Linked DNA regions of Callithrix jacchus. The protein of the gene in region 1 purifies or fractionates together with the protein of each later gene. This does not show direct contact. Links are inferred from orthologs where the notes say so. Each region holds a gene or a part of one and is shown on either strand. Other genes may lie near its edges. The genes, in order: RAB1A, GDI2 and GDI1.

The links.
Region 2: the proteins of RAB1A (region 1) and GDI2 purify together in Homo sapiens (affinity purification with mass spectrometry; 6 studies listed by BioGRID and IntAct, counting the BioPlex papers as one, with this or other methods). This does not show direct contact. The link is inferred for Callithrix jacchus from reciprocal best matches to the Homo sapiens genes RAB1A and GDI2.
Region 3: the proteins of RAB1A (region 1) and GDI1 purify together in Homo sapiens (affinity purification with mass spectrometry; 7 studies listed by BioGRID and IntAct, counting the BioPlex papers as one, with this or other methods). This does not show direct contact. The link is inferred for Callithrix jacchus from reciprocal best matches to the Homo sapiens genes RAB1A and GDI1.

The regions. Positions count from the first base shown.
Region 1 is NC_133515.1:48,810,796-48,821,249, forward strand, and holds the start of RAB1A (ras-related protein Rab-1A), read left to right. Parts: upstream 1-4,001; 5' UTR 4,002-4,192; coding exon 4,193-4,215; intron 4,216-10,454. UniProt on the Homo sapiens protein: The small GTPases Rab are key regulators of intracellular membrane trafficking, from the formation of transport vesicles to their fusion with membranes.
Region 2 is NC_133508.1:8,008,816-8,019,252, forward strand, and holds the end of GDI2 (rab GDP dissociation inhibitor beta), read left to right. Parts: intron 1-3,531; coding exon 3,532-3,631; intron 3,632-7,658; coding exon 7,659-7,830; intron 7,831-8,614; coding exon 8,615-8,759; intron 8,760-8,951; coding exon 8,952-9,006; intron 9,007-9,093; coding exon 9,094-9,240; 3' UTR 9,241-10,031; downstream 10,032-10,437. UniProt on the Homo sapiens protein: GDP-dissociation inhibitor preventing the GDP to GTP exchange of most Rab proteins. By keeping these small GTPases in their inactive GDP-bound form regulates intracellular membrane trafficking.
Region 3 is NC_133524.1:150,227,084-150,237,620, forward strand, and holds the start of GDI1 (rab GDP dissociation inhibitor alpha), read left to right. Parts: upstream 1-6,008; 5' UTR 6,009-6,091; coding exon 6,092-6,136; intron 6,137-7,346; coding exon 7,347-7,454; intron 7,455-7,579; coding exon 7,580-7,679; intron 7,680-7,788; coding exon 7,789-7,923; intron 7,924-8,409; coding exon 8,410-8,608; intron 8,609-8,866; coding exon 8,867-8,998; intron 8,999-9,561; coding exon 9,562-9,661; intron 9,662-10,082; coding exon 10,083-10,254; intron 10,255-10,537. Other genes in the region: ATP6AP1 (V-type proton ATPase subunit S1), read left to right, coding at 108-182, 832-1,025, 1,926-1,966, 2,628-2,713, 3,189-3,427, 4,102-4,149, 4,237-4,468, 4,618-4,827. UniProt on the Homo sapiens protein: Regulates the GDP/GTP exchange reaction of most Rab proteins by inhibiting the dissociation of GDP from them, and the subsequent binding of GTP to them. Promotes the dissociation of GDP-bound Rab proteins from the membrane and inhibits their activation.

The DNA.
Region 1 (10,454 bases):
GTTATTAACTTGAACTAGAAATGTAACTACTTCTAAATACCTAAACATAAAATATATTAAAGTTTGAGCTGGGCGCAGGGGCTCACGCATGTAATCTCAGCACTTTGGGAGGCTGAGATGGCCTGATCACCTGAGGTTAGGAGTTCAAGACCAGCCTGGCCAACACAATGAAACCCGTCTCTACTAAAAATACAATAAATTAGCTGGGCGTGGTGGTGCGTGCCTGTAATCCTAGCTACTCAGGAGGTTGAGGCTGGGGAATTGCTTAAACCCAGGAAGGGGAGGTTGCAGTGAGCCCAGATCAAGCCACTGCACTCCAGCCTGGGCGACAGAGTGAGACTCTGTCTCAAAACAACAACAAACACACACACTAATATATATATATATATGTGTGTATATATATATATATTAAAGTTTGAATCAGCAAAACTTTTAAAAAGTATGATTTTTAGCTACTTTAAATTTGGGAAGGAAGTCTTAATGTAATTGCACATAAATTTCAGTGGGGGTAGGAAACAACCACCTGCCACTCCTAGGCTAAGCTGCCTCTGATCTCTTTGTATAATATTCTACAACACGATAACTAAGCTATGAGCCCTTCTGTCCTTCGTACACAGCAAGTGCACTTAAGATTTTCAGGGAAGCTGAGATAAATAGATGTTGGGGCTCAGGACATACTTCCTCAAATGTCACTCTGGGGGACTAGAATATGCCCTCCTAAAATATACTTCTTTGGTGGCATATTTTGAGCTGGTTATTCTGAGAAAACTGCAGACACAGGAGTAGCTCTGAAAAGCTTTCCTTTTGTAAAATAAATGTTATGTCTATAAAGGAAATCTACATTAGTAAAGTATCTGTATCAGAAGGAGGGCTGCCTCAAGATAACTTTTATCACCTGAGAGACTTTTTATCTGCAAGGCTGGACAACCTTTCTTCACCACGCATTTCCCCTCTTGCCCTCCTGTAGTTTATCACTGCCTCTCCCAAGGCAGCAAGCCCCATTCTTTTTGTAAGATGGAGTCTTGCTCTGTCGCCTAGGCTAGAGTACAGTGGTGTGATCTCAGCTCACTGCAACCTCTGCCTCCTCCAGGTTGAAGCGATTCTCCCACCTCAGCCACCTGAGTAGCTGGGATTACAGGCACCCAACAGCACACCTGGATAATTTTTTTTTTTGCGACAGTCTCACTTTGTTGCCCAGGCTGGAGTGCAGTGGCACGAATTTGGCTCACTGCAATCTCCACCTCCTAGGTTCAAGCAATTCTCCTGTCTCAGCCTCCCCATTAGCTGGGATTACAGGAACCCACCACCATGCTCGGCTAATTTTTGTGTTTTTAGTCAGGCTGGTCTTGAACTCCTGACCTCAAATGATCTACTAGTTGGGCGTCCCAAAGTGCTGGGATTCCAGGTGTGAGCCACTACACCCCAACAAAGTTTTGTATTTTTTTTTTGAGATGGAGTCTTACTCTGTCTTCCAGGCTGGAGTGCAGTGGGGTGATCTCAGCTAACTGCAAACTCTGCCGTTTGGGTTCAAGTGATTCTCCTGCCTCAGCTTCCTTAGTAGCTGGGATTACAGGCACCTGCCACTATGCCCAGCTAATTTTTTTGTATTTTTAGTAGAGACAGGGTTTCACCAGTCAGGCTGGTCTCGAACTCCTGACCTCATGATTCACCCACCTCAGCCTCCCAGAGTGCTGGGATTACAAGCATGAGCCACTGAGCCCAGCTGCTAATTTTTGTATTTTCAGTAGAAATGGGGTTTCACCATGTTGGCCAGGATGGTCTTGATCTCCTGACCTGATGATTCACCCACCTCAGCCTCCCAAAGTGCTGGAATTACCTGAGAGACTTTTTTATCTGCAAGGCTGGACAACCTTTTATTACACCTTTTATATACACAACCATGCCCAGCCAGAGGTAATTCTTTGGTGGGAAAGAAAATAGTTAATTAAAGGAAGTTTGGGAGTATATTTCCCGGGGGAGGACAGATTGTATTTTTGGCTTAGGATGAGCTCTAGACACTTTTCTGAGGGGTTTTCGGGGTGTGTGTGTGTGTGTGTGTGTGTGTCTTTACTAGTGACTCAGGTCACAGTTTTCTGAGATTTTTTTTCCCCTAAGATGGAGTCTTGCTCTGTCACCCAGGCTGGAGTGCAGTGGCGTCCAGGCTCACTGTAACCTCCACCTCCGGGGTTTAAGCAATTCTCCTGCCTCAGCCTGCTGAGTAGCTGGGATTATAGGCATGCACCACCATGCCCAGCTAATTTTTGTATTTTTAGTAGAGATGGGGTTTCACCATGTCGGCCAGGCTGGTCTTGAACTCCCGACCTTGTAATTGGTCGACCTCGGCCTCCAACAGTGTTGAGATTACAGGTGTGAGCCACCGTGCCAGGCCAGTTTTCTTAGTTTTTATTCTTTGAAATTACAATAAGCAGGAAGGGTCATAGACTTTAGGGTCCAGGGTAATGATCACTTTTTTGTGCCTATTACTGAACCATTCAGGATACTCCTTGGTTGGTGACGGTGTTCATTTCAGAAGCCAGCATGTGAAGTAACTCATATAACCTTTGAAAATTTATCAACTAAGGCCCACGGCAGAATTTGAGGGTTAAGGGGTGTAATTAGTGTATAGGTAGATATAAGTGCCTTCTTTCTATATTTTGGCGTTGTAGTAATTTAAAGTGATTCTGCAGTAAGTCTCAGGAGACAATTTTCTTAGTTCTTAGAAGCTGTAATATAAACTTTGGACAATGTATTATACTATGCCCTTTGTAATTAAATAACTCAAGATAATGTGTTAAAGTTTAGTGGAGATTTAAATTCCTGCGCTGATTAAAGAGAGCTGTTAAGACCACAGGTTTTTAAAAAATGAGTTAATAAATAATACCCTCAGAAATTGTAGGCATTATGTAGTGATGAATTGCATGTTTTTATTGTTTATTATTTTCCAATCTTGCAGAATGGCTCAGGATTAGTAACAACTGAAAATAAGACATTACAACTCAACTTGAAGGCTGGCACGAAGGGAGGACTTGGATTTTAGGCTGGCTCTGGGCTGTGTCCCTCCCGTCCATGGAATGTGGAGCCACTGAAGGTTGTGGGGTCATGGTAGAGGTGCTGTCTCAGAAAGATACATTCGATTGTGTGCGCAAATGGGCTGGGGCGGAGAAGAGAGAGGCAGAGCCCATTAGGAGACTACTGCAATATCCAGGCTGACGAGTTAAGACAGGGGCAGCAGTAAGAATAAGAAGAAATCAAAGAAAATGGTAGTGCGCGGGGCCAACAATGGACGATGACCGAACCAAGTTGGGGCTGGGTGAGAAGTGAAAGAACCGCTCCGGGTTGTCCAGGGAGCCCCTTGACTTCCCTTCTGTCCTTAGAGCGGACGTCCTCCGACTAGCCAGCCGGGTGGCGCAAGCCTCAAGCTGGTTAGGTCAGCAAAAGCCACACCGGGGGCCTGAGCCGCCACGCGTGTCCCCCGCCCCCGGCCCCCTCCCCGCCCTTGCACCCCGGCAGTCTCTCCGGTTTGACCACTCCCTCCGGTCCCCAACCTTCCCCGACCCCCAGCCTCCGTCGACCGCCGGCACCGCCCTCCGCCTCTCTCCGCCCCTCTCCGCCCCCTCCCGCGTGGGGCGCTTACTAGCCCAGCTGCCACGTCTCACTGCTGACATCACCAGGGCCGCTCGGCCTTAGCCAATCCGCCAGGGGGAGTCAGAGCGAAGTCCTAGCCAGCGAGTCAGAGGGGAGGGGAGCAAGGAGGGGCGGAGGGTGGGGAGGTGAGGGAGTGGGGAATAGGGCGGGCGACAACCCTTCAAGTACGCATGCTCCAAACGCGCGGCGCTTGGCGGGAAGCTGAGTCTTGGCCTCCGCTCCGCACCGTCTGTTTTCAGCTCGCGTATCCGCACTCGCGACTCCCATTCCCGGCATGCCAGGCGGTGCGGCCGCCCTCCGGCTGTGTAAAGGCTCCTTGGTCTAAGGCTTCCCTATTTCCTGGTTCGCCGGCAGCCATTTTGGGTGGAAGCGATAGCTGAGTGGCAGCGGCTGCTGATTGTGTTCTAGGGGACTGAGTGGGGGAAGACGTTTGCTCTCCCGGAACAGCCTATCTCATTCCTTTCCTTCGATTACCCGTGGCGCGGAGAGTCAGGGCGGCGGCTGCAGCAGCAAGGGCGGCGGTGGCGGCGGCGGCAGCTGCAGTGACATGTCCAGCATGAATCCCGAATAGTGAGTTCAGGAGAGCACCGGTCGGCTGGGTCCGTGGGCCAGCTTGAGGGATCTTAAAGGGGGCAAGGAGGGTTGGGGCGGAAGTCGGAGCCTCAGCTGGGTTGAGGCGAGGGTGATGGGTCAGGAGAGGCTGGCGGCCGGGAGCCGGGCCCCATTGTCTGACGCGGAGGGGCGGCCGGGCGGGGGAGGGGTCGGGCCGGAGGGGTGAGACGCCCGGGCCTGGACCAGGTCAGGTTGGAGGGCCTGAGTGTGGGGCGGGTGCTGAGGAACTGTGCGGAGGGTCCTGAGGCGGTGTGAAGGGTTAGCTTTTCCTGGAGGCAGTGACTTTTGAAGGAGGACTTGTTTCTGAGGGGAGGGGATGGCGTGGGAGAGCCCTCCTAGAGGGCACTGGCAGACCCTGCGCCCGCACTCTGCGGAACTGTCAGGATCCTCGGGGTGGAAACCAGCTTTACTTGCAAATCCTGAGCTTCTTGGCTCCCTCTCCTTCCATCCTCTCCGCCAGGTTTCAGGTAATATGGATGCTTTTCGGGACTGCTTGGGATTGAGGGGAATGAGTAGATGGTGAGAAGCGATTTTTAAGTTCTCTTTTTTGAGTTGTGTCTTGGAAGAGTTCTTTAAGAACTCGGCGGTTCCATTGCCCTCCTAAAAACCTGGGCACTTGTGAGAATTTTTTTTTTTTTTTTTAGAGGACACTTAAGTCATTTTGTCTTCTGTAGGTCAAGGAAAAAAAACACACAGCTAAAGCCAAGGAATGTTTTTCTGATACTACCAGATTAAAGGAACCCTGCTGTCAAGTTGAAAGAGAAACGAATGGGACCTATGATAGATCTGTATGTAGGTTTTGGATTACCTGCTTGAATGATTGCAGATAGGGAATGATAGGCAATGAGGTTCCATGACGTGTCATGAAAAGTTAATGCATTTCTTTTTCTTGCTTACTCAAGAAGTCACGACAGCAGATGTGACACACCTGGCACCTTTCCTGGGAACTGGTGTTCACTTCCCTTGGGTAGACTTTGTTGGCTCTCCTCAGTGGCCCTTTAAAAATTTCCTCTACAGTTTACATATATGTAAAGTAATGAGTAATTGGAAGAGATAGAATTGGTATTTCTTTTCAGTGTCAAAAGCCTTTGAGGGATGGGGGAAATGAGTATTTGTTGTAAAAGTTGAGTTTATTTGCTGCTTTGATCAATTACTGCTAAACATTTTCCCCTAAAAGGTCCACCCACCAGTTTAGCTGACTGTCATGTGTGTGTCACATGGCTCTTGCAAAATGCATTCTTCAAGTTTTGTAACACTGGCTTGATGCTGAAATCTTTTGCACTAAACTGAAACCATAGTATTTTATTAGAATTTTATGCTTTAGAAGTTGACGGTAGTGTTCTTGTAGTGACATATTTACTTTGTTGACAGTTAAAAAAATTTTTTTTTCAAGGGCTCCAAGGACACAGTTGGTTTTGCACAGGTGAACACAGTTGAACTTGAGGTTCTTAATTTAGTGGTTTTCTTGGTAACAGTAAAGAATATGGATTTACCGCTCTATCAAAGTTCATAAACCTGTACTGTTAAGGGCTTTTTCTGAATTTACTATATATATGTTTAGTACTGTAAATAGATATTCAAGATTAGTTGAGAACTTTGACAAGTTAGCCTCTGAATTTATTTCCCCTTTTGTTAAATAGAATAATTGGAATCATTATTCCTTTCAGGGTAGTGGTGAAATTCAAATGCATATAAAAGAATTAGGAAAACTATATGAGCATTCTTCAGGTAGTATGCGTAATTTTCATGAAAGGCGTTCTATTAGTGCTAAGATTTAGGAATATAATCTTTATGTTTAAGGAGTTTAGGAATATAGATAAACATTTTATGCATGTCAAATACCAGTAAATGCAGCAAATTCCAGATGTGTGTCGTTGATGAGAGCAACAAGATTTCGGGGATGGTGGGTTGTGATTAGCTATCTGGGTTTTGGAAGACTTTATAGAAAAGAGACCTGAAAGGAAATTATCAGCAGCAATTGGATTTGGAGGAACAGAGGGAGTGAGAAGGAATTTTCAAGGAGGAGAAGCAGGAATGGCTCATAGATGACAGGGATAGTAATTCTTGAGTAAATGTGGTATCACATCATCCTTTTCTTTTGAAGACTAGATTAATGACCTCAATGGAATCAAATCCAGAAATAGTTTTTATATTTTTTCTGGCATCAAATACATGAGTATCTGGCCTACTATATTTGTAGTCTATCTAGACTGTTGAGTAAAGTAAAACAGGAATTTGGGAAAACTTTTGCAAAAATGTTAGTGGAAATTAGGGTAAGAGGAAGTGAGGGATATTTTATTAGGGAAGGTTACAAGGGCAGCCAACAATCAGATTTTTAGCAATCTGACTTTAGCAGGTTTTTTTTTTTTTTTTTTTGAGACGGGGTTTCGCTCTTGTTACCCAGGCTGGAGTGCAATGTCTCGATCTTGGCTCACTGCAGCCTCCGCCTCCTGGGTTCAGGCAATTCTCCTCCTTCAGCCTCCTGAGTAGCTGGGATTACAGGCACACACCACCGTGCCCAGCTAATTTTTTGTATTTTTAGTAGAGACGGGGTTTCACCATGTTGACCAGGATGGTCTCAATCTCTTGACCTCGTTATCCACCCGCCTCGGCCTCCCAAAGTGCTGGGACTACAGGCGTGAGCCACTGTGCCCGGCCTGCAGTTTTTTTAATGAAGCTTGTTACCTTTGTAAAAGTAATTAGAGAAAATTTGGAAAATAAAGGAAAGAAAGAAAAGTTCTTAATATTTTATCACCCAAATACAAGTTCATTTGTTTTTAACATCTTGTTCCAAACTCCAAAGTTTTATGCTTTCTCTTCATTTACAACTTTAATGGGTGGATGCTTTTCCTGCTTCCAGTATGTTATCTTAGTACTTACAATGGTGTATTAGCTAATGTTTACAAGTGTATTCCAGATGTTCCTTAACTTACTTTGGTTTATCATTACTAATTTATATTGTTTCTTTTAGAAATTTATAATCCGTGTTATGGGTGCTGCTGAATTTGGTAGTGAAAATGGATTCTTGACAAGAAAGCTTCTCAAGCAACAGAATTTTTAGATTTATATTGGTTTACATAAGAGTTGATAGCTGTATTCCTTTTTTTTTTTTTTTTTGAGACGTAGTCTTGCTCTGTCGCCCAGGCTGGAGAGCAATGGCGTGATCTTGGCTTACTCTTGCTGCGACGTCCGCCTCCCGGGTTCAAGAGATTCTCCTGCCTCAGCCTCCCTAGTAGCTGGATTACAGGTCCCAGCCACCATGCCTGGATAATTTTTTGTATTGGTTTAGTAGAGATGGGGTTTCACCATATTAGCCAGGCTGGTCTTCAACTCCTAACCTCGGGTGCTCCGCTTGCCTTGGCCTCCCAAAGTGCTGAGATTACAGGTGTGAGCCATTGCGCTGGGCCTTTTTTTTTTTTTTTTCTTTTTTTTTCTTTTTTTGTGAGATGGAGTCTCAGCCCCCTAGGCTGGAGTGCAGTGGCACGATCTCTTCTCACTGTAACCTCTACATCCTGGGTTCTAGCAATTCTGCTGCCTTAGTCTCCTGAGTAGCTAAGGGGTTACAGGCATGTACCACCATACCTGGCTGATTTTTGTATTTTTAGTAGAGATGGCGTTTTGCCGTGTTGGCCAGGCTGAGGCACGTGAATCACCTGAGGTCAGGAGTTCGAGACCAGCCTGGCCACCATGGTGAAACTCCAGCTCTACTAAAAATATAAAAAATTATCCAGGCATGGTGTCTAGTGCCTATAATCCCAGCTACTCTAGAGGCTGAGGAAAGAGAATCTCTTGAACCCGGGAGGTGGAGGTTGCAGAGAGCTGAGATCACGCCGTTGCACTCCAGCCTGGGCAACAGAAGGAGACTCCATCTCAAAAAAAAAAAAAAAAAGCAATTAAAAATGTAATCTGAACAGTGAAAAAAGTAGATGGAAAGAGTCAAAGCTTTTTTTTTTTGGATCTGAAGAAAAATTTGGAATTTTTTTGAGCTACATATTGAAGCAGGCAGTGATTATTTCAGCACACTGGTTAAGAAATACTTAACATGGCTGGGCATGGTGGCTTATGCCTGTAATCCCAACACTTTGGGAGGCTGAGGTGGGCGGATCATTTGAAGTCAGGAGTTTGGGACCAGCCTGGCCAACATGGTGAGACACTGCCTCTACTAAAAATACCCAGACTGGTAGTGCGCGCCTATAATCCCAGCAACTTGGGAGGCTGAGGCAGGAGAATCGCTTGAACCTGGGAGGAGGAGGCTGCAGTGAGCTGAGATGGTGCCACTGCACTTCAGCCTGGGAGACAGAGTGAGATACCATCTCAAAAAAAAAAAAAAAAAAAAAGAAATACTTAACATTATTTTTATACCAGAAACATTTTTCATAATCTATTGGCTTCTAGTGGATTTTTTTAGTGTTGAGAAAGTCATTTTGATTGCTTCATCTTTAAGGAATGTCTTAAGAATAAAGCATGTGTACCTTTCTTCAGTATACTAGCTAACTATTACAGGAAGAAATTTAGTAGTCTACTTGGAGCAACCATAATTCTTTAATGCAGAAAAATTACCTTGTTTTCAGCCCCCACCCCCTTAAGTCTATCATGGCTCCAGGATCTCTGAAAATTTTATCAGTCCTTCAGACTTTGCTTTCTTCTCATGGTAGTCTCAAGAAGCATTTGACTTTTTTTTTTTTTTTGGTCTGCATTGTGTTTCAAATATATATTTTTTTTAATTTGAGATGGAGTTTCACTTGTTGCCCAGGCTGGAGCGCAATGGCATGATCTCGGTTCACTGCAACCTCCGCCTCCTGGGTTCAAGTGATTCTTCTGCCTCAGCCTCCTGAGTAGCTGGGATTAAAGACACCCACCACCATACCCCACTAATTTTTGTATTTTTAGTAGTTTCTCCATGTTGGCCAGGGGTTTCTCCATGTTGGCCAGGCTAGTCTCAAACTCCTGACCTCAGGTGATCTGCCTGCCTTGGCCAACCAAAGTGCTGGGATTATAGGGGTGAGCCACTGCATCCAGCCTGTTTCGAATAATTTTTTTTTTTTAAAAACTTAAGTATTTGAAAGTGAAAGCAGTTTGTCTTTGTGACTTTTGGTGGTGGTGGTTTGAAAAACTCAAAAAAGTTTAAAGAAGAAAGATAACTAGTATTCTCATTGTCTAGAGTATGATTTTTTAATGTCCATAGAATATCAGCATCTGGTAATTCTTCTGGTAATTGATGTTTTCAGTAGTTGTTATAGAACCTTTACAAAATATATATTGAGAATTTTAAGTGAATGAGATGATGATCTTGTAGGATCATTTAAAGATAAAAACTGAGGCCCAGCTCAGTGACTCATGCCTGTAATCCCAGCACTTTGGGAGGCCCAGGCAGGTGGATCACCAGAAGTCAGGAGTTTGAGAACAGCCTGGCCAACATGGCAAAACCCCATCTCTACTAAACATACAAAAATTAGCTGGGTGTGGTAGCACCTGTGTGATGTCTCAGCTACTTGGGAAGCTGAGGCGGGAGAATACCTTGAACCCTAGAAGCGGTGGTTGCAGTGAGTTGAGATTGCGCCACTGCACTCCAGCCTGGGCGACAGAGCGAGACTCCCATAAAAAAAAAAAAAAAAAAAAAGATAACTGAAATTTCATGGTAAAAATTTTTTTGTAGCGACTGGGCCTCCTGTGTTGTCCAGGGTAGTCTCAAACTCAGGGCCTCAAGTGATTCTTCCAAAGCACTGGGTGGGCTACCATTCCCAGCCTGAAATTTTGTGTTGAAAAATTTCCCTGTTTCCGCTGGGCAAGGTGGCTCACACCTGTAATCCCAGCACTCTGGGAGGCTGAGGTGGGCGAATCATTTGAGGTCAGGAGTTGTATACCAGTGTACTCCAGCCTGGGCGACAGTGAGACTTGGTCTCAAAAAAAGATACACATTTCCCTCTTTCATCAAATTAAGTTGAAATGAAGGGTGTTGGATTTTTTTTTTTAACCATCAGATCTTTTAGGTTTTTTTTTTTTAAATGTTGTCTTAAAGATGAAAGTGCTTCAAAATCAAATATTCCCTTGCCAGTTCTCTACTTGGCTTTTTTGTTTGTTTGTTTGAGACAGAGTCTTGCTCTGTTGGCCAGGCTGGAGTGCAGTGGAGTGATCTTGCCTCACTGCAACCTCCGCCTTCCGGTTTCAAGTGATTCTCCTGCCTCAGCCTCCGGAGT
Region 2 (10,437 bases), on another chromosome or scaffold:
ATATTTATAGAGCTCTCCACTTCAAATACACAAAATATACATTCTTGTCAATACCACATCACACCTACCCATAAGTTTAAATGAAACATTGATTGGCCATTATTAATACCCAATTTTTTTCAAAATAAAGCAATATTTCCATTTACTCTCTTTCTCTTCCTCTTTCTTTCTCTCCTTTACTTATTTATTTTTTTTCTTTCCTTCTCTCAAAAAAAAAGAAATCAGCTTGTAAACCTCTAGATCCAGGTCGGCAATGTCTCTTTCATTGCTTGATTTCCTTTCTTCCTTTCCCTCCCTCCCTCCCTCCCTCCCTCCCTCCCTCCCTCCCTCCCTCCTCCCTGCTTCCTCCCTTCCTTCCTTCCTTCCTCCCTTCCTTCCTTCATCCCTTCCTTCCTCCCTACCGTCCTTATTCCCTTCCTTTCTGCCTTCCTCCCCCCCCAAAAAAAATTATGTAAACTGGTAATTTGTTTAAAAAAGCATAACTAAGAATTTCGTTTCTTCATAAAATGGAAATATAAATATTTCTCCTGATGGTCTTGAGGTTATTATGAATAGTGCAAAGTTTGGTACACACAGTTATATCTAGAAGGGTGTGTATCTTACATACCTTATTTTAACAAAATGCATATAATTAATGCATGATAGAAAGCAGGTTTCAAATACAAGGCAGCCCCTCAGGCCACCATATTATTTAGATTTTACATTATCATTTATAGCATTATAGATTAATTACACATAACATACATTTATAGTTTTTTTTTTAAATTATAGTTTAAGTTCTGGGATACATGTGCAGAGTGTGCAGGTTTGTCACATATACTTGTGTCATGGTGGTTTGCTGCACCTATCAACCCATCATCTACATTAGGTATTTCTCCTAATGTTCTCCCTCCCCTATCCCCTCACCCCTGTACAGGCCCTGGTGTGTGATGTTCCCCTCCCTGTGTCCATGTGTTCTCATTGTTCACCTCCCACTTAGGAGTGAGAACATGCAGTGTTTGGTTTTCTGTTCCTGTGTTAGTTTGCTGAGAATGATGGTTTCCAGTTTTATCCATGTCTGCAAAGGACATGAACTCATTCTTTTTTATGGCTGCATAGTATTCTGTGGTGTATATGCACCACATTTTGCTTATCCAGTCTATCACTGATGGGCATTTCGGTTGGTTCCAAGTCTTTGCTCTTGTGAGCAGTGCTGCAGTAAACATATGGGTGCATGTGTCTGTACAGCAGAATGATTTATAATCCTTTCTGTATATACCCAGTGACGGGATTGCTGGGTCAAATGGTATTTTTGGTTCTAGATCCTTTAGGAATCACCACACTGTCTTCCACAATGGTTGAACCAATTTACACTCCCACCAACAGTGTAAAAGTGTTCTTATTTCTCCACATCCTCTCCAGCATCTATTTATTGACTATTTAATGATTGTCATTCTAACTGGCATGAGATGATTTCTCACATGGTTTTGATTTGCATTTCTAATGACCAGGGATGAGCTTTTGTTCATATGTTTGTTGGCTGCATGAATGTCTTCTTTTGAGAAGTGTCTGTTTTGAGATGGAGTCTCGCTCTGTCACCCAGACTGGTGTGCAGTGGCGCGATCTTGGCTCACTGCAACTTCTGCCTCCTGGGTTCAAGTGATTCTACCATCTCAGCCTCCCAAGTAGCTGGGATTATAGGCACCTGCCATCATGCCTAGCTAATTTTTGTATTTTTTGTAGAGACGGGGTTTCACCATGTTGGCCAGGCTGGTCTCGAACTCCTGACCTCAGGTGATCTCAAGGTGCTGGGATTAAAGGCGTCAGCCGCCGTACCCGGCCCAACTTTCATGCATTTTAACCCTTAAGAAAAGTAATTGTTGTTTGAAAAAATTATTTCATGTAACCGTTTGGTTTTTATCTGGAGAAACTAAACCTGCATGAATTTAGTGTCTGCCAAGTCGGAATCAGTAGCTCAAGTCAGTGCATCAGATAATATGTGACACATTTCACAGTGACTTGTTTCCCAAGGCCTGGCAATGCCTCTTCTCCCAAGTATGCCAGATGATGAAGCATTTCCAGGATTATCCTTCTATGTGGTTTCCTGTTTCATTTTTTTTGCATTATTTTGTCTTCTCCCCTCTTCTGTGGCCTTCCATTTTAATTATTCATAAATCCTTTCAGAATAGCCCCAGAAAGCTATATAAGGGGAAGTTCTGGAGATGGAAAATCCAAGGGAGGAAGGTTGGAGATTGGAATGTCCTTTGCTTTCCGGGTATTTGCTGCAAACTTTTGCCAGGCTGAAGAGGCTGTAGAGTTTCTAAATGTGGCAGCTAGCTCCATAACTCTGATGTTTCTACAAAATTAGCATCTACATCCAGCTCCTTTTCTATTGGACCTTTTAGAAGTCTGCCCTTTTCAGCCTTTAGTTGTTTATTTTCTTTCCTTAATCTTTAATTCTCAGCCAGAAGAAATTCCACATGCCTCTTCAAATCTGCTTCTCTATAATTGTTTTATCATCTTTTGGGTCCTTGCTTCCAATTCATAGCTCTGTTGGCTCACTCTTTTGCTGAAGTAAAAATAGTAGACCAATATAGCTATTACTGGTCAGAGCTTTTTTTCTTTTTTTTGGGAAGTGAACCTAGAGAAATGGCGGACTTGCCTCTGGTGCAGATAGTCCTGCAACTGCCCAAGGCCATTTCAGAACACACATGAAGAGACAGGAGAATAGACAGTGTGGGTTTTGGGAAAGAGCAGAGAAAACCCCAGACATTGTATGGCTTTAGGCTTTGCTCTTGTGAGCCTCCTGTCCAGGAGGGCCATTAGTGTCCCCAAGTCTCTCCCAACCCCGTGAGCCATCCATCAGGGTGAGCTGAGGGATAAGTTGTGGAAGCAGAGCCGCTGTGGCTGAGAAGAACTGTTCTGGTGGTTGCTTAGCAAGCTGGAGAGTGAACGCGGGGAAGCAAACTGTGTATGGGGGTTGAACGCCTCCAGTGGAAGAAGATGAGGCGTAGAGGCCTCTTACCGCTAGGGAATGTATCTGAGTCACGTGGCACCAAAGTGTGTTACTGGTGGACGGTATCCGAGTCACAGAGGCACCAAAATATATTATTGCACTGAGATGAATCCGTATGGGTCTGCAGCAACCTCAGTTCTTTTCTCCTCAGAAAAAAGAATGGCCAAGGGATACAAGGCAGAAGGGATGACCTGGGCAAGTTTTAGAGCAGGAGCGAACGTTTATTCAAGCTCAAGTAGAAATGAAAGGAAGGAGAGAAAGTACACTTAGAAGAGGGCCAAGTGGGCAGCTTGAGAGATGAGTGCCTCCTTTTATTAGTCAGTCAGTTATCAACACCAGCTCTGCGTGTTTGCTGGCTTGAGATACCGCTTTGTGTGTGTGTGCTCATGCTTTAATCACTTTTAAGCTGACATCTTCCTAGAAGGAAATTGAACAAATAAATGCATATTGCCTATAACTCATTAAGATCTAAGGAAGGGGACTTTAGTAGTTGAAACGATTATATATTATTAATTGGGATTTAAAAAATTTTTCAGGCTAAGTGCTATTTATGGAGGTACCTATATGCTGAATAAACCCATTGAAGAAATCATTGTGCAGAATGGAAAAGTAATTGGTGTAAAATCTGAAGGAGAAGTAAGTAGCTTTTAAAATGAAAAAAAAAAAAAAATACTGTGTTCTGGTGAAGAAAATTGTGTATTCTAAATATTTATTTTGGTGTGGACACTGATGTATATGGTTTCTGTATGGGAGGTTGGTGTTTATCGTGACTAAGGACTAGTTACAGATGTTGTGCTCTATTTTAAAAAACATAACTAAAAATTTTTTTTTGTCAATTATTTTAATATTCAAACATGCATTATGGGTAAGCTCTAAATGGTAAGTATTCAGTGTTCTTAGTTTGGGTTGTGCCTGTCTCCCAAATTTTTATTTAAATTGATCTATACTTGCTGGCCAACTACACGGGTGTGGAGTTTTGAGCAGCGTTGCAAGTTTGAATTACATATGAAGCATTGTTAATCTGGCTCTAGTGTATGTTCTGATTCGGTAGGTCTGAGAAGGCTCTGCATTTCCTTGAAACCTCTCAGGTGATGTGGATGCTGCAGGGAAATAAAAGATCCATTTCCCTTTATTGCCGTATGAAAGAATTCTTCCGCCATTTGACACAGTTACTGTCTGCAGCAATTCCTGGAGTAGAGGATGCACTCCAAGTGTACTGCTTTACTGTCTGTCCCTGGAATCCTGCAAATCTCAGCTTTATCTTTTTAATATGAAGCTGTATGGAAATGTAGAAACCTCCTGGGTGGTGGGGTGGGGGGCATTTTCAGCCGTTTAGATGTCACTGGAAATGAAAGTTTGAGATCAGAGTTTGGTAGCTGGTGTAAGCGGACAGTGAGTAAGAGAGAGAAAATACAGGACTGACCTAGGGCAAAAAAAGCCTGGTAATAACTTGTGAAGCACATTTTAAATCTCATTTATTCCTTACAATGTCTTAAGAGGCAGGCATTACGTCCAGGTTATACTTGGAGGCTTAAATTAAGAAACATCTACAAGGGCACATAATTCCGTGAATGGCTGGGGTAGAATTGGAATCAAGGTGTTCTTCACTCACAGCCCTGTCATGATACACCTGAGGATGTAAACTCCTGTGCTGGGTGGTGTTGGGTTTGTATGTTTTATCTACTAAAATGTTACTCAATTATTTATTTATTTGAAACAGGGTTTTGCTCTGACACCCAGGCTGCAGTGCAGTGGTGTGATCTCAGCTTCCTGCAACCTCCACCTCCCAGGTTCAAGCAATTCTCCTGTCTCAGCCTCCACAGTAGCTAGGATTACAGGCACATACCACTATGCCCAGCCAATTTTGTATTTTTTAGTCGAGTCGGGGTTTCGCTATTTTGGCCAGGCTAGTCTTGCTAGTCTCAAAACTCCTGGCCTCAAGTGATCCACCCCCCTCAGCCTCCCAAAGTGTTGGGATTACAGGTGTGAGCCACCATGACAGGCCTCTAAAATGTTACTTAATTGGATCTTTTGAACATATATTTTAGGCAGCTTCTTTATAACCCCCTTTCATCTTGTCTCTGTCCTAGTTTCTCATCTACTTTATATGAAGTTACAAAGCACAAAAGAAACCATATTTTGTTTGACATGTTTATTACTAGGTTTTGTTAATGCTGACTGAATGCTCAGGCATATCAGTACAAACAGCACTGTTTACCATCTGGGTCCAGCAGACTCCACACAGCCACCTTTGTGTGTGGCATCATCAGTCTCACTATCTTCCAGCTCCACGCCGGGAGATCTTCGTCAGGGACAGTAACACTGCCTGTGCTTTCAGCATCATAGTTGTTTAGGAGCTAAGAGATAATTGTTTTTTTTATTTTTTATTGTTTTTTGGAGACAGAGTCTCACTCTGTCGCCAGGTTGGAATGCAGTGGCGTGATCTTGCCTCACTGCAACCTCTACCTCCCGGGTTCAAGTGATTCTCCTGCCTCAGCCTCCCAAGTAGCTGGGGCTATAGGCGCCTGCCATCAAGCCCAGCTAATTTTTGTATTTTTAGTAGAGATGGGGTTTCACCATGTTGGGCAGATGGACTCCATCTCTTGACCTCATGATCCACCTGCCTTGGTCTCCCGAAGTTCTGGTATTACAGGTGTGAGCCACTGTTCCCGGCCAGGGATAAGTGTTTTAATCTGACTTCTTAAAGTTGTTTTTATTCCATATTATTCTTTTGTTTCATTCTTCGTGTTTCTGAAGCTTCAGGGCTTTACTATGAAAAGGCTTTAATACATTTATTTTGCAATGAATGGTTTTCTTAGAAAGCATAGCCTTAAGATGGTAAGGATTTTGGTCTATTTAGAATACATTTATTGAGCATTTACTTTCTGTCAGGACACGCACATATAATGACAGACTTTTTTACACCATTTCATTTAGTTCACTACTGTCCTTTTGGCTTCCCTGGGGGCCACATTGGAAGAAGAATTGTCTTGGATCACACATAAAATATGCTAACACTAACATAGCTGGAAAAAGGGTCCATGCATAATTTTAATGATATCTGCCACCACAAATAAGCAAAAATGTCCTTGCATTCAAGAGGTTGGACATGGGAGAATTTTAGTCCTAACAACAATCCTTTGAGGTTAGGTAGAGCCAGGATTTGAACCCTGAGCTGCCCAATTCTAAAACTTGTACCCTGAATACTGTGCAACACAGTTTTCCTAGTATTTTAATAGGGTTTACAGTTCATGTATCTGTTCCAGGAGAAAATATGTAGGGTTATTGACAAAGCTAGCTTTAACAATCACACTTCAATAGTTAACCTCAACTTTTTATATGTTAGATTATGAAGATAACAGATTATATTCAAGGTAAAAATTACATTAATACACTCTTGAAAACATTGCAGACACTGAATGTTAGTCTTTTTTCCTCCAATTTTTATAAATTGTAATAAAGTACACATCAAATTTATCTTTTTTTTTTTTGGAGACGAGTTTCGCTCTTGTTGCCCAGGCTGGGGTGCAGTGGTGTGATTGCGGCTCCCTGCAACCTCCACCTCCGGGGTCCCGTCTCAGCCTCCCAAGTAGCTGGGGCTACAGGCACCCACCACCTCACCTGGCTAATTTTTGTATTTTTAGTAGAGGCAGGGTTTCTCCATGTTGGTCAGGCTGGTCTCCAACTTCTGACCTTCAGGTGATCTGCTCACCTTGGCCTACCAAAGTGCTGGGATTACTGGCCACTGCACCTGACCCTTTGATCATTTTTGAATCTGGGTTGTTGTTGTGTTTTAGGAGTTCTTGATAAATTGTGATATATCCCTTATGAGATATATAATTTGCAGATATTTTTTCTCATTCTATGAGTTGCCTGAATTCTTGATTACTGTCTTCTGATGCACAATTTTTTTTTTTTTTTTTTTTAAAAGAGACAGTGTCTTGCTCTGTTGCCTGAACTGGACTTAAACTCTTGGACTCAAGCAATTCTCCTGCCTCAGCCTCCCAAGTAGCTGGGATTATAGCCATATGCCATAATGCCTGGCTATGTACAAAATTTTTACATTTTCATGAAATCCTGTTTTCATGAAATTTGTTTTTCTTTTGTTGCCTGTGTCTTTGGTTTTAGATCTAAGGAATCACTGCCAACTCCAGTGTCATGAAGGTTTTGCACTGTTTTCTTCTAAGAGTTTTATAGTTTTAGATATCACATTTAGGTCTTTCTTCCATTTTGAGTTAGTTTTTGTGGGTGGTGGTAGGTAGGGGTCCAACTTCATTCTTTTGCATGTGGATAGTTTTCCTGGAACGATTTGTTGAAATGACTGTTTTTCTCTCATTGAATAGTCTTCACAACTTTGTCAAAAATCATTGTACTGTGGAGGTGAGGGTTTATTTCTGGCCTTTTTCCGTTTCATTGGTCCACGTTTGTCATTATGCTGGTACACTGAATTGATCACTATAGCTTTTTAGTGAGTCCTCCAGCTTTACTGCTGTTCTTTTAAGATTGCTTTGGTTGTTCCAGAATGCAATCCCTTGGGAACCAATATGAACCATAGGATGGTTTTTGATATCTTAACAATACTAAATCTTTAAAACCATGAACGTGGGATTTGTTTCCATATATCTGTGTCAGCTTCAGTGTCTTCTTAAATGCTTTGTTACAGATTGCTCGCTGTAAGCAGCTCATCTGTGATCCCAGCTATGTAAAAGATCGGGTAGAAAAAGTGGGCCAGGTGATCAGAGTTATTTGCATCCTCAGCCACCCCATCAAGAACACCAATGATGCCAACTCCTGCCAGATCATTATTCCACAGAACCAAGTCAATCGAAAGTCAGGTGAGGTTTGAAGACCAGGAGATGTTCGTAGATTTTTTTAAGATATTATTTGCTTTGTGTTTTATTTCAAATTGTGTATGCTCTATTAGTGAACAGACTTTGGTTTACATATGAGGGGGAAAATGTCATCCTTGTACCACTTCCCGGTCCTGCAGCATTGTGTTGACAGGGACAGGTTCAACTTGGAGCCAGCCCTAGATTTGTGTCCATCATCTGTAGAATGAACAGACTGGGCTAGGTGAACCCTGAGGCTCCCAGCTCTGACTAACAGTAGGTGCCTATAGAGGACACTACAGTTACTTGGATGAGTAGTATACAGACCAAGTCTAATTGAGAATTCTATCTAATGCCAACTCAGAAGTGGTTTATGTGGATTCTGCAATTTAACGTTACTTTAGTAAGTCAAAGAGGACATCAGTACTAAATACATCCTTTCTTAGCCATTCAAAACCTTTCCAAGTAGTCCAGAATGGAAGAAAAGCCCAGAATAGTTAATATGGTTTGGCAGCTTTTTTCAGTTAGGTATGACAGAGCTGTTAGGAGATCTCATTCCAAAGTTCAGCAGTTTGCGACCACATAAATTCTTAATCTCTAGTAAGTTAAAAGAAATGCCTATTGTTAACTATTTGTGTATTTTACAACTCTGTGATCATTTAGAACTTTAAGTGTAGAAGATCTTGCCTATTAAGTCACTGTAATTCACACCCACATATGGTTGGCACCTGAGTGTGCTGGGCCCCAGATGGACACACTTGAGCAGTGAGCTGGTGGTGTTTGTTTCTAGATATCTATGTCTGCATGATCTCCTCTGCGCACAATGTGGCGGCACAAGGGAAGTATATCGCCATAGTTAGTACCACTGTGGAAACCAAGGAGCCTGAAAAGGAAATCAGACCAGCTTTGGAGCTCTTGGAACCAATTGAACAGAAGTGAGTTGTGTTCTTTTCTATCTGCCAGGATGCAAACTGAGGCCTTTGATTGTGGTTCCACGGTGGGAGGAATGTGAGGGCAAGGCAGGTGGCCGTTGGCTGCTCTGTGGGTCATACATACCTCAGAATTTCAGGCAGAGCCAGGGTTAGGTGTGGAACCAGCTCATCTGACTCAGTTCTCTCTCCCTCCAGATTTATTAGCATCAGCGACCTCCTGGTACCAAAAGACTTGGGAACAGAAAGCCAGGTGAGTATGGAGGTGTGAGAGGATACGGGCAGGTTCACTGGAAGGTATCCCTCCACAGTCTTAAGTCTTTGTAATTTTTGTTTTCAGATCTTTATTTCCCGCACATATGATGCTACCACTCATTTCGAGACAACATGTGATGACATTAAAAACATCTATAAGAGGATGACAGGATCAGAGTTTGACTTTGAGGAAATGAAGCGCAAGAAAAACGACATCTATGGGGAAGACTAACAGCAGTACATGTTATTATCCAGTTAGGACAAATTTACAATGCGGCAAATAATGCATATGATATGAAATCAGTATTGTAAGGCCTGCTTTTGTAATCAAAGTGGAGAATGAAGAGCGCTGTGCCAGTAAATACTCCCCCCCCTCCATCTTTCTAATATTATGTATTAACTTGTTTTCGTGGAGTGGCTATTCAGAATTGGCAGTTACCATATTCTGTTCAATTAACCAAACTGGCTTTCTTTTTTCTAGTGGAGGATCAGTTGTAAACATTGGGATACTGATACTGAGACAGTATTTGTATGTTTAATCAGTGTAGCCTTTGCAGTTACGTGCTGCTGCTCAAGAGCTGGATCCATACAGGTTGTGTGCCATCTGTCCTCTTGACATTGAGGAGATTCCAAATTGAATATTCCACGGTTTGGGACGGCATCCAGAAGTTTTCCCTGTGACTTTATATTTTGTATTATGTCAAGTGTTATGGCAGGGTCCAAATAGCATAGCCACAAATTTGGTTTACCTGGGCATAATATTCTAACCAAACTCCAGACATAGGGAGTCATGTGGAGAAAGCCCGAATGTGGTGTTTCGATCTAATAAAGTTGATGAGGGAAAAGGGGAGAGGAAGCGAACATAAAGCGGGTACAGTGTAGAGAGCATCTTTTGTCTCAGGCGTGGCTTCATCAATGGACCAAGCTGCAATGCAGTATCGACTTGACAGAGCCTCTACTTCTGTCTCAAAATGGCTCCAAATGATTTCTGTACTGCAAAATAAAGCCAAATTCTGGAAACCACTTTCCTTTATGTGTCCTGATTGCCAGGGTCACAGCTGCTGTGCTTCCTTCAGTAGCACTGGAGTCAATGCCAGTCAGAAGGTGCTGAGCAGTGGAGAGCGTGGGCGTCTCCTGATCTGGATGGATTACAGCCGGTCCTGTTGTCTGGCATCCCTGTGAGTACACCTCAAGTTTTATTCTTGACACAGTGCAATTACTAGACTCTGATAATCTCGGTTTAGGAAAAACATTTTTGTGGACAAAATGCAGGTTACAGTGTTTGATTTTGCTTATAGCAGCAATTGTAAGGGAGTAAGTGAATCGTCAGGGAGAATAGGTACTTTATAGTTTTCCTGTAATTGAAATGGTAAAGTGTGAGCCTTACTGCAGATGCTGTTTACCACAGATAAAGACTGACTCTTATGTG
Region 3 (10,537 bases), on another chromosome or scaffold:
ACCACACTGAACCTGACTCTTAGTGAGAAGTGAGACTTTGCTGGCCCTGGCCTGGGCCCCTGTTCCTTACCAAACTTCCTGAGATGTCTCCCCTGTTTCCCTATTAGCTGAGCGTTGAGGATTTCACAGCATATGGTGGTGTGTTTGGAAACAAGCAGGACAGCGCCTTTTCTAACCTAGAGGTAAGAGTCCTCTCCTAGAAGGACATTCTGCTCCTTCTCAACATTATAAGAACTGTACTCTTGGCCAGGCACGGTGGCTCACATTTGTAATCCTAGCACTTTGGGAGGCTGAGGCAGGTGGATCACAAGATCAGGAGTTTGAGACCAGCCTGACCAACATGGTGAAACCCTCCTCTCTACTAAAAATACAAAAATTAGCCAGGCGTGGTGGTTCATGCCTGTAATCCCACCTGCTCAGGAGCCTGAGGCAGGAGAATTGCTTGAACCCAGGAGGCGGAGGTTGCAGTGAGTTGAGATGGCACCACTGCACTCCAGCCTGGGGGACAGAGTGAGACTCTGTCTCCAAAAAAAAAAAAAAAGAACTGCTGTACTCTTACCTCCTATCAGGGTTACTTGGGTCTGAGTCTCCTCTTCTGGGCAAAAAAAAGAAAAAAAAACACCAATTGAAACCTTTATCCTTATGGAGCAGAAATGCTGGCTTCGGGGTAAAGGCCTAGGGCCTGAATGTCAGGGGCTGGGGTATGGGCCATTTTCTTGGTGCGGCTTTGTGGATGTGGCTTGCCAGAGGAGAGCTGCTAGAGAGCTTTGGGGGCTGGCCCAGGCCCACTGGCCCCTGGCTAACTCACCTTTTGCTTTTTCCCTGCCCCAGAATGCCCTGGAACTGGCCCCTTCCTCACTGGTGCTTCCTGCCGTTGATTGGTATGCAGTCAGCACTCTGACCACTTACCTGCAGGAGAAGCTTGGGGCCAGCCCCTTGCATGTGGACCTGGCCACCCTGCAGGAGCTGAAGCTCAATGCCAGCCTCCCCGCCCTGCTGCTCATCCGCCTGCCCTACCTGGCCAGGTACTGCCCACATGGCCCAGCCACCAGCTTCAGGTCCCAGACAGCAGCAAGAATCTGGGCATGGCATGTGGTAGCACCATTCAGCCAAATATGCTAGTACTCCCCACCCCTCACAGCCCTTCCAGAAGGTGCCCAGTGTGGCCAGAAGAGGTGGGGAGGGCTCTGGCCCATGCTGCATCCCATACTGCACAAGGGTTCAAAGACCTAAGAGGGAACAGCAGGGGATAAAGAAAGACACAAAGACAAACATAACATAGAGAGCTGGGCCAGGCGGTCCGAGAGATGACGATGTCAGTCTCTTTGGCCCCCACCTGCCTCAGAGTACTTTATCTTATATGTTTACAAAGCACACAGCAGAGGGAGTGCAGTTACTTAGAACAGCCTGTGGTTATAATTCTCACACTTCAGTTAACTATGTTGCAGCAAGGTCAGTAAAAGCTGGTTATCTTTCTCTATATCCATCTCCACTTCTCTGAGACATACACATTCCCCTATTATGGTTTCACTTCTCTGGAGTTCACCCAAAGTTCGCAGCAGCCTTGCTGCTGATCCCCGCGGAGCGAGTGGGCTACTCTGGCTCTCTACAGAGGGCCTTTTCTGTGACTCAGGACTTGGTGCCTAAAACTGAGCTGGGCCTCCAGAGATGAGGCAGATGTGAGCCCTGCAGGTAGGGAGCCTCCTCACCTAGCCAGGTCGTTGTCACAGAGCAGGTGGCCAGGACTTGAGTGTGACTGTGAAGCCTGGGGGAGGGCTGGGCTTCCAGGAGGGGGTACTGAGGTAAGAGTGTACAGGCTTGGTGTATGGGGTTAGTGGGGAGGAGAAGCTGGGGAGGAGGAAGGGTAGTGGGCAGTGCAGGTTCAGGCCACCTGAGGACTCTGATGCTCTGTCTGTCTTCCATAGCTCTGGTCTGATGGCACCCAGGGAAGTCCTCACAGGCAACGGTGAGTGGAGTCAGGGAGGATGCATGTCCTCATCCAGCCCTTGGGCAGGGACCACAGAGAGAGCTGGCCTGCAGTTCCTCAGCCTCCTCACTCCCAGGGTGGCCCACCTGCTTCTCGAGGCAGCTGGCAGTGGAGCAGGGAAATGCTGGCTTCTGGGACTAGCCAGGGACCACCTGGCAGAGGACCCTGTCCAGTCGGACCCCACTCGGCAGAGGGGGCCTCTGCACTGGAGCCTGTGCAGCCAGTTTCTGCGCAGGCAGCAAGCATCCTAGAGTTACGGGTTTACTAGACTGCAGACATTTGGAAAAACAATTCTGGGACTTACCTATTTGCGATAAAGGACAGTCACTCCCCATGGAAAGGCAGTCTTGATCCTTTTGTGGGTAGATGGGAAGTTTTCTGTATCTACATGTATTTTCTCTTGTCACATAGGTAGGGCTTCACATTAGGGAGTCGATTACTGAAGCCACAGTTGTCCCTAGGGAAGCTGGAAATGGGGGTGGGGGGATGGGATGAGAAACAGCTGCTCCTAAGGATCTTCAGTGGAAAGTCAAATCACCAATTTCAGCTAGTCTAGAAGGTTTCTAAAGCAGACGGTGGGAGTGTTTCTTTAAGCAGGCTGCCTGATGACCTGGGTCTCTGCTTCCTTCTTGACCCTCAGATGAGGTCATTGGGCAGGTCCTGAGCACACTCAAGTCTGAAGATGTCCCATATACAGCAGCCCTCACAGCGGTCCGCCCTTCCAGGGTATGTGCCCTTCCGGCAGGGGCTCTAGGGCATGTGGGGAGAGGCAGTGTGGTGAGTCTGCCTGGAGGTGGGGATGTATGCCACAGGCAGGCCCCCCGGGGGGTCCCAGCATAGGGGAGGCATCAGGCACAGAACCCTTGTAGTGTGACTCTGGAGTGGCTGGTCCTTGGGCTGACTCTGGGGGAGGAGTAGGATGAGCACTCAGGTCCTGCCTCCCCATTCCAGGGGTAGCTTTCTGTCTTGTCCTGTAGACTTGTGGGTGGCAAACTCGGACACTAAGTCTAAATGATCCTAAGTTTGAGGGACTAGGAATGTCATCAGGACTTAGGGGCCATCAGGGAAAGTCTCCTGGAAGAAAGGCTGGTAGGACTTTAAGAGAGTGGACAGGGTGCCCTGTGGGGGGACATGACAGTTGAGTTGGAGCAAGACAGTCTCCCAGGGCTGCTAAAAGAAGGCTGGTTGGGTGTTTCTGCAGGTGGTCCGTGATGTAGCTGTGGTGGCTGAGGGGCTAGGTCGCCAGCTGCTACAAAAACAGCCAGCATCACCTGTGATCCATCCTCCTGTGAGTTACAATGACACCACTCCCCGGATCCTGTTCTGGGCCCAAAACTTCTCTGTGGCGTACAAGGACCAGTGGGAGGATCTGACCCCCCTCACCTTTGGGGCGCAGGAGCTCAACCTGACTGGCTCCTTCTGGAATGACTCCTTTGCCAGGCAAGGGCACTAGGCTGGGGAGGACTGGGCCACCACAGGTGACCTTTCCAACACTGAGGGTCACAGGTGGGGCAGGGAGCCAGGGTCAGGTCTGTGTGTTGTGGTGGGGATGGCCATGGTCTCTTTGGGGTCTGGGCAGCATGAGGATGCAGGAGGTTGCTGTTGGAGGGAGTTGTCCAGACCTCTGCCTCCCCATGCTCGTGAGTCTTTGGTTGGGACCTTCATTGTTAACATGTCAAGGTTACCTGGGAATGTGTCACCTCCCCCTTGAGCAAAATGTCTGGGACTGTGTATGGGTAAATACCAGGCCAGCTACCTGAGCCATTTATGAGGCAACCATGCCCTTCCGTTTGCTCTCACCCCTGAAGCCCAGCCCAGGTACCTCAGTGAACCTAAGAGGGAGCAAAAGGGGCACTGAGTCCAGGGGAACCAGAGGAAGGAACCCCGTGCTGGTGGCAAGGAGGACCTAGGTCCTGACTTTCAGCTCTGTTCTGGGCTTGGAATGTGACCAAATCCCCAGTTTTCCTATCTGTCAAGTGGGGACACTGCTTCTTCAGGTGGTTGCAAGGACCCGAGGCAGCTTAGGTAGGGAGCAGAGCTGAGGAACTTGTTCCTCGAAGGTGCTGAAGGCCCTCCCAGGGCCTCACAGTGCGCCCCTTTCTCTGGCCCTGCAGGCTCTCATTGACCTATGAACGACTCTTTGGTACCACGGTAACATTCAAGTAAGTCCTGGGGGTGGCTGAGGTGCGGGTGGGCTGCTGTGACTTCCGCCTCCCCGGCTCACCTGACATCCCTGCCGCCTTTCCCAGGTTCATTCTGGCCAGCCGCCTCTACCCAGTGTCCGCCCGGCACTGGTTTACCATGGAGCGCCTCGAAATCCACAGCAATGGCTCCGTCGCCTATTTCAATGCTTCCCAGGTCACAGGACCCAGCATCTACTCCTTCCACTGCGAGTACGTCAGCAGCCTGAGCAAGAAGGGCAGTCTCCTTGTGGCCCGCACGCAGCCCTCCCACTGGCAGATGACACTTCAGGACTTCCAGGTATGGAGCAGGGGTGGCCCAGCTTCAGGTCATGGAGCCAAGGCTGGTGGTTGAGAGGCAAGGAGAGGCCCAAAGAGTCACAGAATTGCTTGGGCACAGGCTCGGGCCTCCCGACGGTCCTTTCTGACCCCTGTCTGTGTGTCTGCCAGATCCAAGCTTTCAATGTGATGGGCGAGCAGTTCTCCTATGCCAGCGACTGCGCCGGCTTCTTCTCCCCCGGCATATGGATGGGGCTGCTCACCTCCCTCTTCATGCTCTTCATCTTCACCTATGGCCTGCACATGATCCTCAGCCTCAAGACCATGGATCGCTTTGATGACCACAAGGGCCCCACCATTTCTTTGACCCAGATTGTGTGACCCTGTGCCAGGAGGGGGTTGAGGGTGGGACAGTGTCCCTCTTCCTACCACAGCATGAACCCCAAGCTCCCTTTAGCCCATCTTGCTCCCCGTTCAGCCCACTAAGGAGATTTCCTGGGGCTGCCCCCATCCCTACCAACAAGGTGTACATAATTCTGCGTAGATGCTAGACCAATGTCCCAGGCTCAGCCGCGGTGAGGCGTAAGGGACATGAATTCTAGGGTCCCCTTTCTCCTTATTTATTGTGTCTACATCATCCCTGGCTGTGGATAGTGCTTTTATGTAGCAAATGCTCTCTCCTTAAGGTTATGGGGCTCCCTGAGTTTGGGGGTGTGGAGGTACTACTTAACTGTCTGACCTGCTTTGCTGTCGTTATTGTTTTCTGGTGATGCTGTGCTAATGATAAGCAGTACACTGGGGTTTATTTCTGTGGCCTGAGAAGGAAGGGACCTCCACCCCAGGTGGGCTGGGTGCAATCTCCAGCTGTCTGGCATGTTCCCATCGGGAGTGCCTGGCAGGAGCCTGGCGTGCTCGGTTGTTTCCTTCCTAATAAACGCGGATCGCCACGATTTGGGCCTCTTGTAGGTCATTTCTGCACTGGGCTTTAGGTGCGTGCTCGCTGGAGGGATGCGGGAGGATGGAGCCCGGTGAGGAAGAGGTGAGGAAGCATCCGCGGAGACCTGGAGGGGCTTTAGCAGGGTGGGCCCTAACCACTTAGGGCAGGAAGGGGCGGTCGGGCCGAGTCCCGTTACGCTTTGGCGACTCGGGAGGCCGTCGTGACAATGGCAGCCTTCGTATCATGAGGGGGCTGCCCCGGCTGCCGCAGCGGCGCGCACCCGGCCGCGGGACCGCGCCGAGCCTCCCGCGGGGCTGGGCGGGCGCGCGCGGGGCGGGGCGGGGCGGGGAGGATGGGGCGGGGCGCGCGCGGCTCCGCGCACGGATCCTTTCCTAGCCGCAGTACCGGCCGCCAGCCCGCCCCGCCCGCCCCGCCCCGCGCCTCTCTGGACCCTCGGCGAGCAGCGTCGTCCTCGGAGCCGCGCTGGTGCTGTGGCCCGGGCCCTAGCAGGTCTCCTGGGAGGCGAGCTGGGGAAACGGTGGATCTGGCCGGGCGCGGCGGGGCTCGAGAATAGGCGGGACTCTTTGACGAGGCGGAGGGGTCAGGCGGCGACCGAAACGCCGCCATCTTTGGTCCAGTGCTGCGGCGGCGGCGGCGGCGGTGAAGGAGGAGGAGGAGCCGAGCGGGCACTGGCACCGAGGCCTGACCATGGACGAGGAATACGATGTGATCGTGCTGGGGACCGGCCTCACCGTAAGTGCGGCCCCAGGCGCTCTTGGCCCCGTGTCTTGCCCTCGCCACCCCCCGCGATGATGTGGCCGCCGGCCCACCCTCCGGTCACTGCCATCTGATGCGCTCGGCTCTCCAAAAAGCCGGCACCGTGCCCACCCCGCCGCTCCCCGCGCCGCTCCCCCCGCGACGTCGCCTCTGCTTTTTGCTATGACCCCATCTTCCCGAAGGGGCCCCCTTCCTGGCTGCCCGGGTCTGACCCCCGGCACCCTCCCATCTTTCCTACCCCTGTGCCTGCTGGGCCGGAAAATGCACCCCAGCTAAGCCCGGTGCCCCGACCCCGCCCACCCATCGCCCCCACCCATCACGGAATCTCCCCCCCTCCCGCAGGTTGCCCGCACCCATCGCCCGCTTAGCGTCCCTTCCCATCTTGCGCTAATCCCGGTAGGGACAGGGACATGGGGTCAGGGGGCCTCCTCAGGGTGGGCCCTCAGCCCACCTCCTCGTCTTCTGGGGCCAGGGGATCCAGGGAATGTTCCAGAAGGAGCAGCGGTGGGGGCAGTAAGCACATTCCCTCAACCCCACCCCGGTTGCCTATGGAGACCTCAGGCTGAGTAGCATCTGCAGCCTTTGTCCTTGGGCTAGTGACAGTGACGGGTGAGGGTATTTATCTTCCCCTTTTCCCCAAAAACCCCGTTGGCCCGCTCCCCAGAGAGACTCTTCTTTCTCAGTCCAAGCCCAGATGCCCCTCATCAGCAGCAGGGTCTCCCGCCATTTGAAGAAAGATCAGTCCAGGGTGGGGCCTACAATTTCAAGGACTGCGCTAAGCCTTTCTTCACCTCCCTTTCGAGTGTCCTTCGCAGTCCAGCTAGGTCTCGTCTGCGCCTCATTGTGTTTTAACAGCCTTTCTGTGCAGCTCTGCGTAGATACATGTCCATTGGCTTGTGGGTACTGGAAGGCCATCCTGTGTCTGCTGGATGCCCTGCCTCTCTCAGAGCCTCCATTATTTCACTGCCTACCTTGTGAGGGGGATGGGACTCCTTTGCCCAGCAAGGTTACAAAGGAGACGGTGGTCAGATGAAGCTGTCACCCCAATTTTAGGCGAGGCAACTAGCTGGTTTGAGGGGGTGGAAGGAGCTGTCCACTGGATCAGGTTTGGGTGGGGAACAAATCAGGGCTGCTGGTAGGAAGGGAGGCAGGTAGGAGTGAGAGGATGGTATTGCCCTCCCTCCAGGAATGCATCCTGTCGGGCATCATGTCTGTGAACGGGAAGAAGGTGCTGCACATGGACCGGAACCCCTACTATGGGGGTGAGAGCTCCTCCATCACACCCCTGGAGGAGGTGAGACATCTGGGCCCAGGCCCATCCCTGTTCACCTCCCACGTAGCGGCACAGGGTAGAAGAAGCTCCCCAGGTGCCTGGAGCAGGAGGAGATGGTCCCTGAGGTGTCTCTCTTCTGCTTACAGCTGTATAAGCGTTTTCAGTTGCTGGAGGGGCCCCCTGAGTCGATGGGCCGAGGCCGAGACTGGAACGTTGACCTCATTCCCAAATTCCTCATGGCTAACGGTGAGGGACAGGAAGGACATATTGCAGGTCGGGGTGATGGGGAGGTGCAGCCAGACCAGCAGAGACTCTGGAGAGAGCAGTGCCGATGTTGCCCCATGCACACCCACAGGGCAGCTGGTAAAGATGCTACTGTATACAGAGGTGACTCGCTATCTGGACTTCAAGGTGGTGGAGGGCAGCTTTGTCTACAAGGGGGGCAAGATCTACAAAGTACCGTCCACTGAGACTGAGGCCTTGGCTTCCAGTGAGTGTGGGCCCCCTGAGCCAGAGAATCATGGGGTGGCAGGGAAGTTGACTGTCCTTGGGATGGGTGGCTGTCCAGAGTAAGGCACCCCCTTGTCCAAAGTCACATTCCCCATGAAGAACCAGAGGCCCTTCACTCTGTATCCTCTCTGCCCCATGCCATGCCTCACGGATGGCTGCCAGGAGAGAGGCCTACACGCAGCAGGGATGTGACGTGGAGGAGGACAGGGCTCCTTTGGAAAGACTTGACCTTTTGGCAGGGGCTCCACTGGATCCCCGAGACATCCCCAAATGTCCGAGCAAGGAAGGCCCTTAGAGCCATCCAGGCCAGTCCCCTCTTCATAGAGGCAGGGAAACCGAGGCTGAAAAGAGCGGAGGGGTTGAGCTAAGGTCCCACAACAGCTACACTGGGAGTGGGGCCCTGCCCTTTGGGAAGGAGAGTTTTGTGCTGCGCTGGTGCAGAACCTCGTCCTGCCGCCTGCCTTAGATCTGATGGGCATGTTTGAGAAACGGCGCTTCCGCAAGTTCCTGGTGTTTGTGGCAAACTTCGATGAGAATGACCCCAAGACCTTTGAGGGTGTTGACCCTCAGACTACCAGCATGCGTGATGTCTACCGAAAGTTTGATCTGGGCCAGGATGTCATCGATTTCACTGGCCACGCCCTGGCGCTCTACCGCACTGATGAGTGAGGGAAGCTGGTGTGGCGGCAGCCCCCTCGCCCGGCCTGCCTCCTCCCTCCCCACACCTGCCTGCTGTTCCCCTGCCCCGCATGTCTCTTGTACTCAGCCATAGGCTCACCTATCACCCTTTCCATTTCCCCCTTGCATTTGATCTTCATGTTCCCTAGGCCATTCAGGGTGGTGGGAAGACTGGCCTGGTACCTGGGTGGTGGTGAGTCAAGGGTGCTGCTATTGGAGCATCTTCCCTTACCCCTGTCCCCCAGCTACTTGGACCAGCCCTGTCTTGAGACCATCAACCGCATCAAGTTGTACAGTGAGTCCCTGGCCCGGTATGGCAAGAGCCCGTATTTATACCCGCTTTACGGCCTGGGTGAGCTGCCTCAGGGTTTTGCAAGGTGAGGACGTGGGTTTTTTCAGTTGGCATTGGCTGAGTAGGACTAGGGCCAGGAGTGGAGCTGGCCCCTTGAGCATTTCCCTGCTAGCATTGGTCTTCATTGACTTCGCTCCATCCTTGGCTGATGGGGGCACAACCCCAGTGTATCGAAGTCAGAGTCGAAGAACCAAGTCTCCACAAACAACTTGCTCAGTTCCTGGAAGCACCAGGACTGGGCCCAGGGCAATGGAACCTTGAGTCAGGGCTTAGCTGGGAGCTGACCTCCAGAGAGGACCTTCATTCTGGTCCCCCAGGCTGTCTTGGTGGGTGTGGAGCACTCCTCCTTCATGCCACCTGCTGCTGACCCTTGACAGTGTATTCTGGGGAGAAGCTCCAGAGACGAAGAAGCCTGTCGAGATGGGGCCAGAGTTCACAGCAGTGACAGAGCTGGGATGAATCCCGGGGTCTCTTGCCTGCTGCCTGCCTGGGGCAGCCTTCTTTGCACCTTGGTGGAGGGAAGGGTGCAGTGGAATTGGTCCCAGTTTCTCCTGGGAGGGGCCCTCACCGTGGCTATTCTCACCACAGATTGAGTGCCATCTATGGGGGGACATATATGCTGAACAAACCTGTGGATGACATCATCATGGAGAACGGCAAGGTGGTGGGCGTGAAGTCTGAGGGAGAGGTGAGCCTTCCCCATGCACTGCTGTCACCATGGTTGAGGTGGGGTGTGGCCACCTTCTTCTTGACTGTGCTGTTGGGTCTGCTGCTACGCAGCCTCAAGGGCCTTGCAGCTGGGAACTAGGGGTCCAGAAGTCGTCAGAGCCATGTCTGTTGGTGAGGGGTCTGAGAGTCCACATGCCACGTCTGTGGTGCAAAAGTGTTCTTGATCACAGTGCCCATGGGGGGCGGGGCCGGGCACCCGGCCTGTGTGTCAGGGCCCACCTCAGAGCTGCAGGGCAGGGCCATGCATTCAGGAGGGGCAGTAGTGATGGCTCTGAGGAGCGCCTTGTCTGCCAGAGCTGCTTGCCCTTGCTGTGAGTACAGCCCCAGGACTACCTAGGGGAGTGATATGACAGGGGTGAGGACCTCTGGTGCCTTTTCAGGTGGCCCGCTGCAAGCAGCTGATCTGTGACCCCAGCTACATCCCAGACCGTGTGCGGAAGGCGGGCCAGGTCATCCGCATCATCTGTATTCTTAGCCACCCCATCAAGAACACCAATGACGCCAACTCCTGCCAAATCATCATCCCCCAGAACCAGGTCAACAGGAAGTCAGGTAGGCCAGGCGCCGGTCCAGCTTCCTCCAGGGTGTTCTCTTTGAGGTTGCTCTTTATCTCCCCATCAGCGTCGGAGCTCCTTGCCTTATCTCTCCGAAGAAAAAATTTGACCCACATTGCAGTCACCACAAGTTGGATCCCTAGGGTTTGGGTGGACTGGAGTCTTCCCGTTTGGGAAGGTGACAGCTTGGATGCTACCTGCTCTGTGGGGCTGGGGAGGGGCAGGCGGGCCAGACTTGCGTCCAGCTGCTGGAACCCCTCTCTGCACACGGCTGGTGCCTC